Linked DNA regions of Sus scrofa. The protein of the gene in region 1 purifies or fractionates together with the protein of each later gene. This does not show direct contact. Links are inferred from orthologs where the notes say so. Each region holds a gene or a part of one and is shown in the gene's direction. Other genes may lie near its edges.

What was found.
Region 2: the proteins of UBE3A (region 1) and PSMD14 purify together in Homo sapiens (affinity purification with mass spectrometry; 10 studies listed by BioGRID and IntAct, with this or other methods). This does not show direct contact. The link is inferred for Sus scrofa from reciprocal best matches to the Homo sapiens genes UBE3A and PSMD14.

The regions. Positions count from the first base shown.
Region 1 is NC_010443.5:141,953,189-141,956,752, forward strand, and holds part of UBE3A (ubiquitin-protein ligase E3A), read left to right. Parts: intron 1-411; coding exon 412-716; intron 717-3,564. UniProt on the Homo sapiens protein: E3 ubiquitin-protein ligase which accepts ubiquitin from an E2 ubiquitin-conjugating enzyme in the form of a thioester and transfers it to its substrates.
Region 2 is NC_010457.5:68,106,083-68,110,227, forward strand, and holds the start of PSMD14 (26S proteasome non-ATPase regulatory subunit 14), read left to right. Parts: upstream 1-1,296; 5' UTR 1,297-1,500; intron 1,501-4,145.

The DNA.
Region 1 (3,564 bases):
AAGGAAAGCTGGATTTACATTTTCAGTAGACTCTTTTTTAATGTTGGTTTTTAAAGTGATAAAATATCAAAAATTTTAGCTGTAAAACTTGTGATTTTTAGTTGTTATGCTTAACAAAGAACATCAAACAAACCCCTCTCCCCTTTTTAAAGTCCAGAGAAAAGCATACTAAAACAGTGATTTTGAGAAGCATTGTTATTCTTTATCATAATATCTTAGGAAATAACTGTCAAATATTTCACCAGTTAAAAAAGTTTTATGTAAATAGTGAATCTCCATTTTCTACACCTCATCTTAATATGCAAGTTTATTACTTCAGTGCCTGACTAACTTTGGCCTTGCTAATGATCTTTGGAGCTTTGTATCTGAGAGCTGTACTAATCACTGTGCTTGTTTGAATGTTTGGTACAGGAAGCGAGCAGCTGCAAAGCATCTAATAGAACGCTACTACCACCAGTTAACTGAAGGCTGTGGAAATGAGGCCTGCACGAATGAGTTTTGTGCTTCCTGTCCAACTTTTCGTCGTATGGATAACAATGCAGCAGCTATTAAAGCCCTTGAGCTTTATAAGATTAATGCAAAACTCTGTGATCCTCATCCCTCCAAGAAAGGAGCAAGCTCAGCTTACCTTGAAAACTCTAAAGGTGCCCCTAACAACTGCTCTGACATAAAAATGAACAGGAAGGAAGGACAAGGAGCAAGAGATGATTTTAAAGGTAAGATGTTCTGTTTTTAATTGAGAATTAAAAAATTTGTCAAGTGTTGTTCTTTTGCTTATTTTGTCTAATTATGTGACCTTAGGGCATGGTAGTATAATGGAATCAATTTTTTTTTTTTTTATGGTAAAGGGCAGAATTAATAACTGAGTTAATGATTTAACTATATTTTACTGTTCTGATCATCTCTAAATAGAAGCAGGTTATATTCCCAAAAGTTCTTTTGTTACTGGATTGATTGGAACTTTTAAGTATTTTTAAATATTTAAATATAGTGAAGGGTAGGTAATCACCTAAAATAGGCCACAAAGTCTATTAAATTTTAGAATAGCTGCACTAAATATCTGGCATGCATTTTGGAACCCAAGTACTATGTGGTGAAAGAAACAAAAAGAGGAATTGGTGATCTTTTTGTATTTCTGAAGGCAAGGCAAAATGTTGTAATAGTTACCTGAGAAACAATTCAGTTTTTTCCTCTAATGTTCTCTTCCCATATCCTGCTCATCTTCTCCCAGGCATTTGGCACACTCATACTGCCAAGAATCATTACTGACACCCCTACCAGAAGTAATCATATTTTAAAAGAGGAAGCTTTTCGTGTAGGGCATATATATAAGTTAGAGAACACCTGAAAAGGTAACATCATTTGAATCAAGTTTAAAGTAGTGAAATGGAATTATGTTACATCTTCTACAAGTTTCCACAATAAAGTTGTTTTCATACTTTCTACAGCTTTATTGAATTAAAATGTGTATTTTTATTTCATAAATTTGCTCACATAGTGGATAAATAAGTGAACACTGTCAGTATGTGTACTGTGGGAGTTGCATTGACTCCAATATACACACGTTTCCCCAGCAAGTGTACACTACCAGAACAGCATGTCTGTCTTGGCACAGTTGAATGCAGCAAGCCATTAGGGGTTATAGTACAGGATGGATGTACCCACCTTGATTTTGGCTATGTGCTTCATCTTACAGGTACTTACTGAGTGATTATGCCCAGTCTTTGTGTACTGTTTTAGCTTAAGTCTGTATAATTTAGCAGTTGATTATAGTTATTCCAGTATCTACACTCTTCCCCACCCTATTTTGCCTGTAATATTCTGTATTTACAATAGTATATTTCTAGTAGGAATTATAAAACTGCATTAGTACTTTTATTTTGAATGTTAATTATATTTGTTAGCTCTCATTATACAGTTTCATGTGTTGAATAGTCCACCACAAACTCTGTTTTTGCAAAGGAAATTGTGTATAAATTTGTAAGTTATTTTTCAGATACACCTATATCACAAAGTATACAGGTATATCATACAAAAATGTTTATTGTTTTCTCAGTAGAGCAACTTTTTATTGATACCCAAATGTTATGAATGTTTGTACTCTAAATGCAGTGTTTTTTTAACTAAGTTGTACTTATGTCTATAAAACTCAGTTTAACATTTCAAAAAAAAAAAAACCACGCTATGTGAATAAAGTACACATAAAAGTACACTATGTGGATAAAGTGCACATTTTATATATAATTAGTAGAATGTCAAAATCACTTGAAGATGTTCTGAGGAGCATGACATGTCAAAGGGTGTGTGGGTCTAAAATGTTGATATTTCTAAGATAAGCCATGTTATGTATGCAAACCAACTCTGTTAACAGCTTTATAAATTGATGGTTAGGAAGCAGAGTGTTTTACATCCGAACCGGATAGTTATAAATGATAAATTTTAACTGTGTATTGGTTACACTTTAGGAAGTTAGATAAGGGTTTTTTTTTTTTTTTCACCTTTGCATTGTTTTTTTAAAAAAGTATTATAATTTTTTTCCAATTAAAATAATGGGAAATAAGCTCCCAGTTAGCAGTTTTCACACTTTTTTGGAAAAGATTACTGATGTTTAGCAGAAGATGCCTGTATATCCTTAAAAGAACAAGCCTGAGGATTTGTTCTTAAAGAGTTAGGGCCATAAAAGACAGTGTTGACAATCCAGTAGCAAAGACCAAAGAGTAGATTTGTGGTGTGATAAAATCTGGTATTTTTGCACTTCAGCTTTTAGAAGCTGTTCATTGACCACTTGCATTTTCTGTTGTCTTTCAATATGAAGCAAATATTAAAGGGAAGGTAGAAATCATATTAAGAAATTTATATTATATATGTTGTACAGTTAAGAATCCATTTGTCACAATGAAGATAGGATTACTTATTTGATGGTAAATTATCCTCTGATTAAGTATTTGATGACAGTTACATCACACTTGATTAATGTGGTAGATTAATATTTTTGTTAGTAATACTGTTTGACCAATATAATCTTAAAGTTAGTACAAAAATGTATCATTTGTTCTCCTTCCTGAAAAATAACATACCTGAATAGTTTATTCAAAACAACAGAATTCTTTGGGACACAGCATTTGTATTTCTTCCATAGTTTGATAGTTTTTATTAGTCTGTATCGTAGTACCTTATGAAAAGTGGTCTCAAAATATCTGTATATCCTTTTTTTTTTTAATTTGAAGGACAGTTTTATAATTTGTAGAGATCTGTATAGTCTTTGGATAATTTGAAAGTGATGATACTAGTGTATTTTGTATATCTGCTAATAAAAATAGTTTTGTTTTGTTTTTTTCTACTCAGAGTATAAGTTAGTCATGTTTGCCTCATTTAGCAGGACAGTAAACTCTTAGAAGTCCACCAGTAGACTTCCACTTAGGTCACTGGCAGACCTCTGTCGCATGCTGTGCCCCAAGTGTACGTGAAGATTGGAATACTAGTGTTCAATTTTCATAGTTTCTATCATAACAACACATCAGGGTAAAGGTGGTGAATAGATTTGGAGTTAGCTAACTTCAAGTG
Region 2 (4,145 bases), on another chromosome or scaffold:
GGACATTTGCCAGTGGAGAGTGGATTAAGACAGAATGGAGGCAGGGAGATCAAGGAGATTACTGCAGTATTCTAGGAAAAGAATAATGCAGGTTTGAGTTAAGGAGTAGAGAGTTGGAGTAGAGAGAATGGAGAAAGGGGAGTGGTGGATTGAAAAACTATTTTATAGATTAGACCCTTCGTCATTTCCAGAGTTTTTAATTGGGAAGCCAGTGGGAATAGGTGAATAAGAGGTGTCTACTCTTGGGTCTGATTAGGGAAACTACATGAAGGACATCTGCAAAAAAAAAAAAAAAAAAAAAAAAAAAAAAAGGCACGGGTTTGAGGGAAAAGATAAAGACATGGATCCATATATAATTAGTATTACCTATGATTAAAACAATGTATATACATTTTTAGGTGGAATTCTTTGAGGGGGAAATTGGGTGTTAATATGCCACACAAACCGCTTTGGTTTCATATGGTATAATCTTCTTTTCCCTCCATCCAGTAAATTCTTGATATAGGAATGCCTCGAAGATGTTAGTTATCTGTAATATATCTGACAAAGTGAGAGGGACTTGGTAAATGTGCTGCCCTAAAGAGAGCCTGTAGGGAAGTGAAATATAAACCTGTCAATAGTTATTTCTTGGGCAGTTTTGCTCTCTGAAAACCTAGCACAGAGCACATAATGGGCAAAACGTTACTGTTGATGGTAGTTACCCGGAGAAACGTGAGGAAATGATTTCTTAAACTTGTAAATTGCATTGAGCTTAAAATAGATGGTTTTACTATTTAGGAAATTTTGGTTTTCCTTGAAATTCAATCTCTGCAAAGCGGTAAAGACAAGAAGGTGGGTATTATGTCGTATGGAAAAAAGTATTCCACTGTTTCCCACTCTTCACACCCCTCCCTTTTCAATTTTGCTTCTCAGGTGACCAAGTTAAGTTTAGTTCAAGGGAACCTTTTCGTTTTTAAGAAGGGCCGCGGGTGGACACCAAAACGTAAAGGGTACTGGTCTTCGCATACCTGCAGTTCCATTTCCTAACCAGTCACCTCCCAGGCTGTGTAGGCCTGCGTCCCGGATCTCGGAGTTCGCAGAACGCGCAGAAGTGGGAAGGGAGAGGCGGGAGCAGAAAAGGGAGGATGTCGGAGGTGCAGGAGCGGTCTCGGCGCTAACTTCCGCTCCGCCCTCCCAGCTGGGACCGGGGAAGCGGGCGGCAGGCGTTGTCAGTCCGGGCAGCTCCTCCTGGGACGCTCGCCCATCTCCAGAGTCGTCTCCAATTGGTCGTCGGGGGAACGGAAGCCGGAGCAGAGCAGTGAACCCGGAAGTGCTTCGCGGCGGAGGCCCGGGCGACTCTTTTGAATGGAATCGGGCTGATTCATCGCCGGTTCGCGGAGCCAGAACCCGGCTGAGCCCGAGCTGCTGCTGCCGCCGCCGTCACGGCCGCCGCCGCCGCTGTCACCGCCACCGCCGCGTCACAAGGGTCCAGACTGCGGCCTCTTCGCCAGCCCGCCAAAGGTGAGACGGGAAAGGCCGCCCCAGGAGGTCCGCGGAGGCATCCGCGTTAGGCCGCTGCCAGCCGGGTGCTTTCCTGAGTCACGTTGCCCAGCCGAGTTGCCACTGGGGGCCCAGGAAGTGAGGGTGGGTCCAGGTTCCTTCGTCCTCCTCGCCGGCTACTGCCGGCTGTTGGTCTTGATTTAGATCTCCTTCCTCCAGGCATTTCTGCTCCGCTGAATTCACCACATTTTGGACCCTCTCCTTATACAGGGTAGAACCCTTGGTTTTTGCCTCTATTTGTATGTGCTCTATTGAAAGTTACCCCTGTGTTGAAAAACTTCCCGCCAGACAGAAAATAAGAGTGAGAGGATAAAATTAACTTTCCCGTTGAATGCATGTGTACTTTATCACTTGTCCTGAGCATAGGCCATGACCCCTTTTCTCTTGGTGTGAGGTTCTCAACTCCCTTCAAAAATAACCCCAGAGGTGCACTGGTTTTTAACCTTGAAACTCTTTAAAGTGTGGTTATTCCTGCTATGCCTTTTAACTTACTTTCAATTTGTCCAGTTGAGTAGTTGTTGATTGTAATGTATTGATTACATTTCCAGCTTTCAATAAAGTAGAAATCTGCTTCTGTTACCTCTTGGAACTTAATTTTCCTGTTGACGTTACTTTGTTAGTCAAAAGAAGAAAAATGTAGACTTATCGAAAGAATTTGAATATAAATCTAGTGACTGAAGAGAAAATTACAGAAATTTTAAAAAAAATAGTAACCAGAAGTTGGTAAAAAGATTTAATGGGAAATGCTGAGAGGCTTTGAAAATTAGCATAGAAATGCAGTTACTAGAGTGAAAATTACTTTCTTCATTGCTCATATAAGTATGTTTTTAGTGCTGCTGACTTAATATTTATGAGTAAACAATAAGACAAGTCACTGATAATGTTGAAATAAAAAAGAACTGAATACAGTTTTAGTGGGGATGATTAACATAAAGTGGCCCTCTTGTCATATAAAGCTAGCACTTGGCTCATTTAAAGTTTAAATTATGTATGTTTTAAACATATAAATTGAGCATTTGACCAGATTAAGAAATGTAGTGCCTCAGAATTAACTACAAGATGCATTTAGTGAAGTAGTATTTAGCGAAAAGCCTGAATATTGTCTTAAATTTGTCCCGGAACAAAATTACATCTAGCCAACAGAGCAAAGTTTTGAAGTCATGGTCTTTCAATGAAGCCTCACCTGTTGAATTTGGAAACCTCCCCTCCCCACCCCATAAATACTATATTGCTGTTCTTATTGAAAAGCTGGATTTTAATCTTTCTGGCATGGATTTATTTTGTTCTTGTCTGTAAACCTGTGTTTAGTTACACAATCCATGTTTGAAAATCAGTGAAAAGAAGCAATTGTGCTTTTATGAAATTGTTTTTAATTTTATAGCAGTGTTTGTTTCATAAGTCAGTATCCACTTGTAAAAGCCTGACCTGAATACTGGTGATTTATTACTCATGAACTTGCCCTATGCCCAATTTGTTGCACTCATCTGACATTCATATTCTATTTTATGATATTTTGGTGTCCCATCTGTAAAGTGAGAATTGGATTAAATAATCTTTTTTGCCTTTAAGATAGTAACAATAACAACAGCAGTTGGAAGTACCTGTGAATATTTCAGGCACTATGTTTTATTAGGTGCTCTTTTTTTTTCTTTTCTTACAACAAGCTTGCGAAGAAGATATCCTCATTTTATAAATGAAGTCTAGAGTATAGAAGATAACTTACATATACAGCATAGCCAGGGTAGGTGATGAAGCCAGAATTCAAATCTAAATCTGATTGCCTCCAGTGACTTTCTAGCTCAATACTGCTGTCCTTTCATTTTATGTTTTTTCCCCATGGATTTATTTCATGCCTCCCCAGGTGGATTGCAAATTCTTTCAGTTAAATTCACTAAATTCCTTAATGACTCTATTTCTGTATTACCTTAAATACAGGGTGGTATTTAATAAATGCTTGAATGCTGTAATTAGGAGGTAGGACAAGAGCATATTTATGGTAATTCCATCCTCGCCATTCTAAACAGGGAGAAATCTTGTTTTCAAAATCTTATTTATATAATTAAGTTTAATGTTGACTCTGAACATTAAACTTAGTTTTTCCACTGAAGAAAGCCCTTAAGAAAAGTGAGAGAAATAAGTTCTTAATTACTTTCCACAAATCAGACAGTAGAGGAATTAGAAATACAGTGAGATCACAAATATGGAGTAGTTTAAAAAGGATTTATTGGAGTTCCCCTTGTGGTGCAGTGGAAACAAATCCTACTAGGAACCATGAGGTTGTGGGTTGGATCCCTGGGACCGCTCAGTGGGTTAAGGATCTGGCATCGCTGTGAGCTGTGGTGTAGGTTGCAGATGCGGCTCGGATCTGGCGTTGCTGTCGCTCTGGCATAGGCCGGCAGCTGTGGCTCTGATTTCGACTCCTAGCCTGGAAACCTCCATATGCTATGGGTGTGGCCCTAAAAAGACAAAAAAAAAAAAGGATTTATCATCCATCTGAGAAGTAATAGTATATAACTGCAGCATGGATTGAGGAGTAAAAACTGAAAAGTGAATTAGGAAACAGAGAATAAACCTAAACAGCTAAGGGCTTCCAGATTTTGTTAACT